2 linked regions of the Cricetulus griseus genome follow. The protein of the gene in region 1 interacts with the protein of each later gene in a pairwise test. Links are inferred from orthologs where the notes say so. Each region holds a gene or a part of one and is shown in the gene's direction. Other genes may lie near its edges.

Evidence for each region.
Region 2: the proteins of Sdcbp (region 1) and Eif1ad interact in binary tests that used the Homo sapiens proteins (3 or more experiments, as listed by UniProt). The two-hybrid records come from large-scale screens. The link is inferred for Cricetulus griseus from reciprocal best matches to the Homo sapiens genes SDCBP and EIF1AD.

The regions. Positions count from the first base shown.
Region 1 is NC_048595.1:154,160,615-154,164,748, reverse strand, and holds the start of Sdcbp (syntenin-1), read left to right. Parts: upstream 1-1,332; 5' UTR 1,333-1,471; intron 1,472-4,134. UniProt on the Homo sapiens protein: Multifunctional adapter protein involved in diverse array of functions including trafficking of transmembrane proteins, neuro and immunomodulation, exosome biogenesis, and tumorigenesis.
Region 2 is NC_048596.1:53,963,712-53,967,988, reverse strand, and holds the start of Eif1ad (probable RNA-binding protein EIF1AD), read left to right. Parts: upstream 1-1,476; 5' UTR 1,477-1,879; intron 1,880-2,302; 5' UTR 2,303-2,421; intron 2,422-2,904; 5' UTR 2,905-3,032; coding exon 3,033-3,119; intron 3,120-3,248; coding exon 3,249-3,357; intron 3,358-3,449; coding exon 3,450-3,558; intron 3,559-3,714; coding exon 3,715-3,762; intron 3,763-4,277. Other genes in the region: Banf1 (barrier-to-autointegration factor), read right to left, coding at 454-576.

The DNA.
Region 1 (4,134 bases):
CTTGTCCGTAAAGCACAACCAGAGCCATAAAGCATAGCGCCACCAGCTAACTTCTGATTGGTTCCTTGTCGAGAGGCAGGCATCTGACTTCTAGTGACTAGGACAAGGTCATGGCAAGCACGTATTACTGTCATCGCTGCTGAAATGGGGAGCTGGTCCCTTCAGTAAGTGTCCAGGGCCAGGGAGCACAGATTTAGGTTACCCCAAACCCAGTGTTCCTACGTGGAAGCAGTTTCATGTAGTTCTTTTACAGAAGAGAGAAATTCATAAATCAAGGCAAGTGTAAAACACATAGTGGGTACATCAGAGAGACAGATACATGGATACTGGGAAGCTTTTCTGTAGGCTCAAGATGCTCTCTGAAGGTCTTCTGAGATTTTGTATTGGTTGAAGCTAGCTGCTGGCTAATTCAATGTCACAGGATGTTAGCTTGTACACAGGCGGCAAGGAATGGCGGCTGTTCTGGAGGGCCGGAGTTTAGCCCAACTTAAGGTAAACATGCCTCCCAACTTGCAACATCCCAACCTCTCCACAGTAAGAAATTCTAATCAGACAATCTGTCTCTGCAGGCACAGATTCCCTCAAATCATAGGGAATCATAGGGATTCCCTTCATACAGACACTACAATCAACTAGGTTTGTAGTTAAGTATTTTATTTTGATGTATTTTTAATTTCCAATTCCAATTGCTCATTTGGGGCAGATGGGTAAGTAATTGATTTTTGTATATTAACTTTGTATCCAGGCAACCTTGTTGTAACTACTTAATACTGTTTATTTTGTTTACATAGATAACCATGCCATCTGTGAACAGAGCTGCATTTCTTCCTTTTCAGTTGTGTATTTTTACAAGTTCCTCATCAGATAAGCCATAAGACCTCCCAAGTTCAAATTTTCATTATATTTGTCATGTGTTTCGTGCTTATTGTTTTATTTGTTACTAGAGATAAAATTTCAAGTTTCTGTGACGCTAAATAATTTAGCTAGACAATTGCTTGCATGTTAATGCTGTCACTATCCGTCACTAGGAAACGTTCAGGTAATGGCCTCTGCCATGGAATGTTGTGCTGGTTTCGCAGATTAACGTCGACCAAAAACCATAGCTGAGTTCTCGTATCGGCATCATCAACTCGCCAAAATCAGTCTGTGTTTTTAGATGAGGATGTGGCTTTCATTTTTTGTGCGATACCGAGAGTAATCGTCAACAGCCAATGAGCATTCGCTCTGGGAACAAAGGGTAGTAAAAAGCCGCGGGGGCTCCCAGGGAAAGGCAGCGGGCGCGGGGTCTTGGTGGAGGATGCTGGGCCCGAAGCTCGGGCGGGCTGCGCCGCGTTGTCATGGGAACGGCGCTTGTGCCTGCGCCTGCGCAGCGGAAGGCGGGGGCGGCGATGACGCGCTGGGCGGGCCGTGAGGTTCGCTAGTTCAGTGCCTCAAGGGAGCGAGCGGCTGGAGCAGCGCGTCCTCGGTGCAGGTGAGTGACCGGGAGGGCCCGCAGGTCCAGGAAGTTGCTCGGGGCACCAGGCGAGCCTGGCTGGTCCCCCAACCCGCACTCGGCCGTTCTTGGTCGCGTCCTTGGCGGCGTCAGGTCGGCCGGGGCGGGCACCGACCCGAGGCTACAACGGTTAGCGGCTGAGCCTTGGCTCTTGGAGGGGGCGGGGAGAGCCTGGGAGGGACGGGGCTTGCAGCGGGTGTGGGTACAGGAACTGTCCCTGGAGGTCTGGTGACTCAGCTCTGCCTTGAAGATTTCCTTCTAATACCGGGAGGAGGGAGGCTAGGGTCGTGGAAAGTTTCCAGTTTTCGAAGTGCAGTTGGGGAGCCGTGAGTGTGTGGGATCCTCTCGTCCTGGCTTCAGACATATAGCGGTGTTTTTCCCTTTGGTAAATTACTTAGAAAGTGTAGTGTTTGAAATTCTTAACATGCACGCTTTACGCCAAGAGCAATGTTTGAAAACGAAAGTTACACTAAAATAGCCGTTGGCCTGGTAAATTGTGCTTTTTAAAGGTAAAGATGATACGTTAAATAGATTTGTACACTCATTTTCTCGATTTAAGGCTGAGGACTGAAAATGTTTCTTTCCATCCTGTTAACAATTTAGTTTCTTAAACTTGTAGGTCTTACGTGGTACGTGAGTATTATTGACCCAGTGGTGTATGTCCGGAAGTGAGGAAGTGGAATGACTAGAAGTTTCAGTAAACAGTCACTCCATTATAACCAAAGTTACTTAACTTTGGAAGCCAATTTTAGCTATGTGCTGGAACCATTAAAGAGGACTTCAAACTCATGAACAAGAAGAGGCTGATTAACAATTAAATGCACTTTTAAATTAGGCAGTCCCTGAAAATGAGCATGATATCATTTCCCCCTTAATCCCTCCCCCCCCTTTTTGCCGGATCTGATGGTGATAACTGCTCATCGACTAGAATGTGTATCCATGACTTTTAACCATTGTGAAGATTTCAAATATATCTCTGTTCTAGCACATCACTGCCTTTTGTTTTTTCTTATACTTGGGTCATCAAAACACAGTATTGATTCCATATCTCAACTACCACCGATGGGTTCTGACAGTATTTTTTTTTTTTTAATTTCCCTGGTCAAATATAGTATCTTTAATAACTTGAGCGGTTTAGGATAATGGTGAGAGAGTATCAATTTTTGTTCCTTATTTAAAGAGAATTTTATTTAGGCTTATAAACATTAAATAATCAGTGTAGTTGATCTTAAAAAATGTCTACTTTACTAGTTCCTTCTGGTAACCTTTCTTTTATGTTTGTCTGCAGTTGGCCTCTACAAACCCCCACAGTAAATCTGGAGTACAAATAGAGCTGTGAAAGGAAACTGTAACACCCTCTTAGTGAGAGATGGTGGTCAGGACTTTTCTAAAAATGCCTCAGGACCAAGTTCTTCTGGGCCATGAAGAATCTTGTTTCTCCTACTAAATAGAAAAATGTTGGTTTGAAGAACTTTGGCTAGTAGGATATCATCGAAAACCTCGGTGTATATCATCAGGTCCTTCACTTTAAGCCTACCATACACCAGCTGGCCTTCCATGCATCACCTTTCTCTTTTAGTTTTTGCCTCTGCTACTGTGGCTGAAAGAGGAAAATTGTAGATTTTATTATGCTCAGCAGCAACAACAACCAAAACCCCAGTTTTTCCAAAACATCACTTCCCTCCATTGAGCTGTGAGTGGGTCAAAGGTCCAAGGAAGCAATGCCATATTGCTTTGAGGGTGTTGAGAGACAGATAGACAATTCTTTTCTTTTTTGTTTTGTTTTTTGAGACAGGGTTTTTCTGTGTAACAGCCCTAGCTACCCTGGAAGTTACTTCATCAGTGACTAATTTTCCCAAATGATGCTAAAAAAACAAGCAAGCAAACAAAAAACAAAAGCCCTAAGATGCCTTTAGGAATAATAGGATGGCTCAGAACGACAGTGCAACAGTGAAAGCATTACTCTGTTTGTCCCACCCAAAGTAACTGTCCTTTCTAGATAACATTTTTTGTAGTCCTTTGTGCTGTTGTGTTTGTTTAGAAGAGATTCTGGTATTACCCAAATCATTAGAAAAAAATCTCAATAGATTTACCTTTGGGTGATGTTTTCTAAAACCTCCTGGTGCATTGGGTTCAGGGCTTTTCATAAGCAATGGTGGAGTATTGTGGTCTCAGCCAGTATGGGGTAGGCCAAACCTGCTTGAGGGATGATGGTTGAAAGCATCGGTTCTTTCCAAGCATAAGATCAGCAGAGCAGCTGCTGTAGACGTTGCAGTCAAACTCCGCAGATGTTTAGGGCTTTGGGTGCTGATTTGACTCCAGGAGCCATCAGGTGCCTTGGGTGATGTAACCCAAGGGTGGTGATGCCATCACTCTCGAATGGGAAGCCTAGAAGCAGAATTCTGTGGCTTAGTTGGCACATGATGGTTTAATAGGAATTATAAGGGATTAAAATGAGAACTCTTCACTGGTGTAATATTTTCAGAATTCTCTAAGTTCACATTGATCATTGTAAAATTCCAGTCAAGGATAGTTTCACAGTTCTTCAAAAGAAGCTCAATACTTTTGACACCTGGAATCAGATCAGAGACTCAGCCCTTGTGACAGGGGGTGGGGGGGCTAGGGAGGTAGGGGAGTGGGGG
Region 2 (4,277 bases), on another chromosome or scaffold:
CTCTGAAGCTAGGCAAGTCAGCTGATAAGCACTTGAGAGGGCAAGGCCATTTTGTTTTGGTTGTTTTGTTTAAGACAGGGTCTTGCTTTGTTGACTAGACTGGCATTAAACTAGATGAGAATCTGCTTGCCTCAATCTCACAAGTGCTGGGGTCATAGGGAGGACCCACTATACCTAGTTTCATCACCTTTGTGGCATTGAAAACACTCAAAGGGTAGGACACAGTAGGGCACACCTTTAATCCCAGCACTTGTGAGACAGAGATCCTGTCTCCAAAACAACAACAAAAATGACTTTGCCTCCCCAGATGCCCCCAAACCACTTCAAATTATCTACCACTGTCCGTGCCCTCCCCGTACCCCTACTTTTCCTAACTCCCAATTTTTTTGCTTGGAATCATCTGTTGCCAACTTTCACTCCTACCCCTCCCTGGCATCTGTGGCCACCCCACACCTTGTCAAAGCCCCTTTCCTCCAGCTTCTTGCCCAGGACTTCACCAATCCCGGCCAGGCTCCCCACTGGCTTTTCCCCCATGGGCTCTGCCACGAAGTCACGGTGCTTTTGGGAGGTTGTCATCTTGATCAGGTTTAACCTGGGAATCCCAAAAAAAGGCAGGTTAGGGCTGAAGACCACAACTCCCAAGGGCAACCTCCTAGGTCAGCTATTGTGGCTGCTTCCTCGATTCCCCCTCATCTCACACCTGAGAAAATTGGGGGCCAGGGAAAGTCTTTCCCCCGCTATTACATCCTGAAATCTCCACTTTCTGTGGGCCCTGGGATTTGGTAATGAGCTTGCACTAACAAGTGGCGCACGTAGAGAAAGACTCACAGCCTCAGCAGCCAGGGCCCGCCCTGAAGCTGTCACTCTTGGTGACCTTGGCCAGGCAAACACTGACCCCGACCGGAGCTACCACGTGGTAGAAATAGCAGCAAAAAGAGGGGCTCGTTACCCTCGCCGCCCTCCACAGGCCAACAGGCGCCGCGCACCGGCTCCCGCAGCCCGCCGGAGCCCACGCCTCGCGGCTCCCAGGCCCCGCCCCGGACGCGCCGCCCCGCCTCCTCCACGCGCCGCGGCTCGCACGCGCCGCGGCTCCCACGCTCCGCGCACCGCCCCTCCCGCAAGGCCAGGCTGGTCCGCTGCAGAGACGCGCCTCAGCCACGGGCGCTCCTCTCCCTCCCGCCTCCGCCGCCTAGCCGGAGCCTTACTTCGCCGCTCACGCTCACCGGCAGCTCCGGCTCTCGTAACGGCTCCTCCCGCCACTCGGCAGCTCCAGCCGATACCTCAAGTTGCTAGAACGTTCTTCAACTTCCGCTTCCGGGTCGTGTCAGGAGCCGCCTTTAAAAAAAAAATACCCGAATTGGGCACGTCTAGCCACAGAGAGCCATAGAGTTGAGGCGCAACCGCTAACTGCGGAGCCCACAGAGGTCGCTGTTTTCCGGTCCCTCACAGGAAGCCGCGCTGCTTTCTATGGTCGTGTTTCTCCGGCCCCGCTTCCCATCTATGAGACCGAGGCCTCCGAGGAGAATACTGTTATCTTTTTCTTGCCCAGCACCTGGAACTTAAAGACTTAGGTGGCCTGACTTGGTCGAGGGAAGACTAAAGGAACGGACAAAGAAGGGGCGGGGCATCCGGAGGGCTACTGAGAGCCCCGGAAGTGCAATTCTCGCGGGTTCCTCAGAGTCAGGTCTATCTGAAGCCGGCTGACGGCAGCTGGGAACACCGGTGGTCTGAGGCCAGGCGTCCAAACCGGCGCGACCGTCGTGACCACCTGCCAGTCGCATTTCTTTGCTTTTGTTGACTCCGTCTTGAAGTGAGTCGTAGACGAGCTGCGTTCAGCGTCTACCTGGAAAACGTAGCTTGCTTGTGTAACGCCGAGCGGGTGAGTGCTGTGGGCGGCTCTTTTCTCGAAGGGTTTTTCGGCTTGAAGCGCTGCGGTGGTGGCCGAGTCAGTCTACACCATGAGTGTTAGGAGGACGAGCATCTGTTGTATGGCTGACCTACACTTGGGGGTGTTAAAGCATGTGGAGGAAAGTAGTTTACTCAAACTTCCCCAAAGACGTTGTCAGCCCGGGCGGTGGTGGCGTAAGCATTTAATCCCAGCACTCGGGAGGCAGATGTAGTCAGATCTCTGTGAGTTCGAGACCACCCTGGTCTACAAGAGCTAGTTCCAGGATAGGCTCCAAAGCTACACAGAGAAATCCTGTTTCGGAAAAAACAAACAAAAGGTTGTCAGAATGATCGGCCTGGGAGGTGCGTATGGTTTCATCGTCACGTCAGTACTTATTTACATTTTTTTTGTTAGTTATTGAGAGGATATCTCGCTACGTAGACCAGACTGGCCTCCATATGCTTTCGTCTACCTCTGTGGTTTGGGATTAGAGTCTTGAGATTTAAGGCTTGAGCCATCCCCCTTTCTTCCAAGTAAGACTATAAGACATGTTTCCTGGTTTCTTTTACTGTGTGTGGGTGTTACAGGTGTCCTTGGTGGCCAGAAGAGGGCATTGGATTCCCCTAGAATTGGAGTTAGAGATGGTTGTGAACCAACTGATGTGGGTGCTGGGTCCTGAGACATCTCTCCGGCCCTTAAACGTCATGTTTGCTTCATTTTTGAGACAGGGTTTCACTATGTAGACCAGGCTGACCTAGAACGCAACAAATATCTGCATGCCTCTGCATACCAAGTGCTAGGAATAAAGGCATACACCAGCATCTGGCTAAACACGTGCCTTGTTTTTTAGTGATTTTTTTTTTTATGTTTATCAGTGTTTTTACCTGCATGTATGTCTCAAAATGAGGGTGTTGGAGGTAGGGTCAGTTGTAGCTTCTGTGAGTGCTGGGAACCATACCTAGATTCTCTACAAGAGCAGCAAGTCGCCAGTCCTGTAAAGCTCTTGTTTTTAACAGGGCAAGGTGGCACTTCTCTTATAAGGCTGCTTCTCCTGAGAGCAGTCCTGGCTTCTAAGACTGCCATCCACATAACTCTGGAAGAGCTGACGTTGTCTGCGTCCTAACAACCCTGGACAGAACCCAGCATGTCTCAGGCCACCAAGAGAAAACACGTGGTGCAGGAGGTGCTGGGAGAGCACATGGTGCCCTCAGACCAACAGCAGATAGTGAAGGTGAGAGCATGGGTCTCAGCTTTTCTCTACGCCCACCGGACCCCTGGGATGTGGGAAGGGCTCAGTGCAGGTCAGTGTGTGCTTGATCTAACTGGTGATGTGCCTAATTCTTGATCTTTCCTGCACCAGGTCCTGAGGACTCCCGGCAACAATCTGCATGAGGTAGAGACGGCACAAGGGCAGCGCTTCCTGGTGAGCATGCCCTCCAAATACCGAAAGAACATCTGGATCAAAAGAGGTTAGAGGCATCCCTGTACAGTACAGAACCATGACCTTGATTCTTGATTTTCTCCTTCACATGGGAATGCCTTTATCTTTTGTCACTTACAGGGGACTTCCTCATTGTTGACCCTATTGAAGAGGGAGAGAAAGTGAAGGCTGAGATATCTTTTGTGCTCTGCAAGAACCATGTCCGTTCTCTGCAGAAGGAGGGCCACTGGTAGGATAATTTCTAGCTTCTAGGTGTGGTAACATCTTAGCTATGGAATGGGGTAGGGGTGGTGAGGTTATGCCATCCCAAGAGGACATTTGGAAACAGCTATTTTGCTAAAAGGTTTCTCTTCACTCTCTGACCTGGATCTTCTCTTTGTCACAGGCCTGAGGCCTTCTCTGAGGTAGCTGAGAAACAAAACAGTATGAACAGGTGAGGAGCAAGCCCCAGCCCAGGGAAGACAAAAATACAATTTCATACCTTGGTGCCTCAAGGAGAAAGGTGATCCTGCTTTTCTGTTGAGAACTCTAACATACACAGTAGAGTGGATAGTTATGGGTATAGCTTAAAGGCCAAGTTAAAATACTGGCTTTGCTACTAAATAGGCAAGTGACTTTAGGTACAGTATTTAATATCTTCACACCACTGGGTGTGGTAGTATATACCTGTAATTCCGGCAATTACAAGGTGGAAGCAGGGGTTTGAACCAGCATTGTGTACATGAATCAGGTTCAAAGCCAGCCTGATGGATATCTGTGAGTTCGAGACCAGCCTGGTCTACAAGAGCTAGTTCCAGGACAGCCTCCAAATTGAGACAGAGAAACGTTGTTTTGAAAAACCCCCCAAAAAGAAAGGAAACCCCCCCCAAAAAAAGCCAGCCTGAGCTACATGAAATCTTTTCTCAAAAACAAGAGTTTACCTAAGAGACAGGATTATGCAAAGTAAAA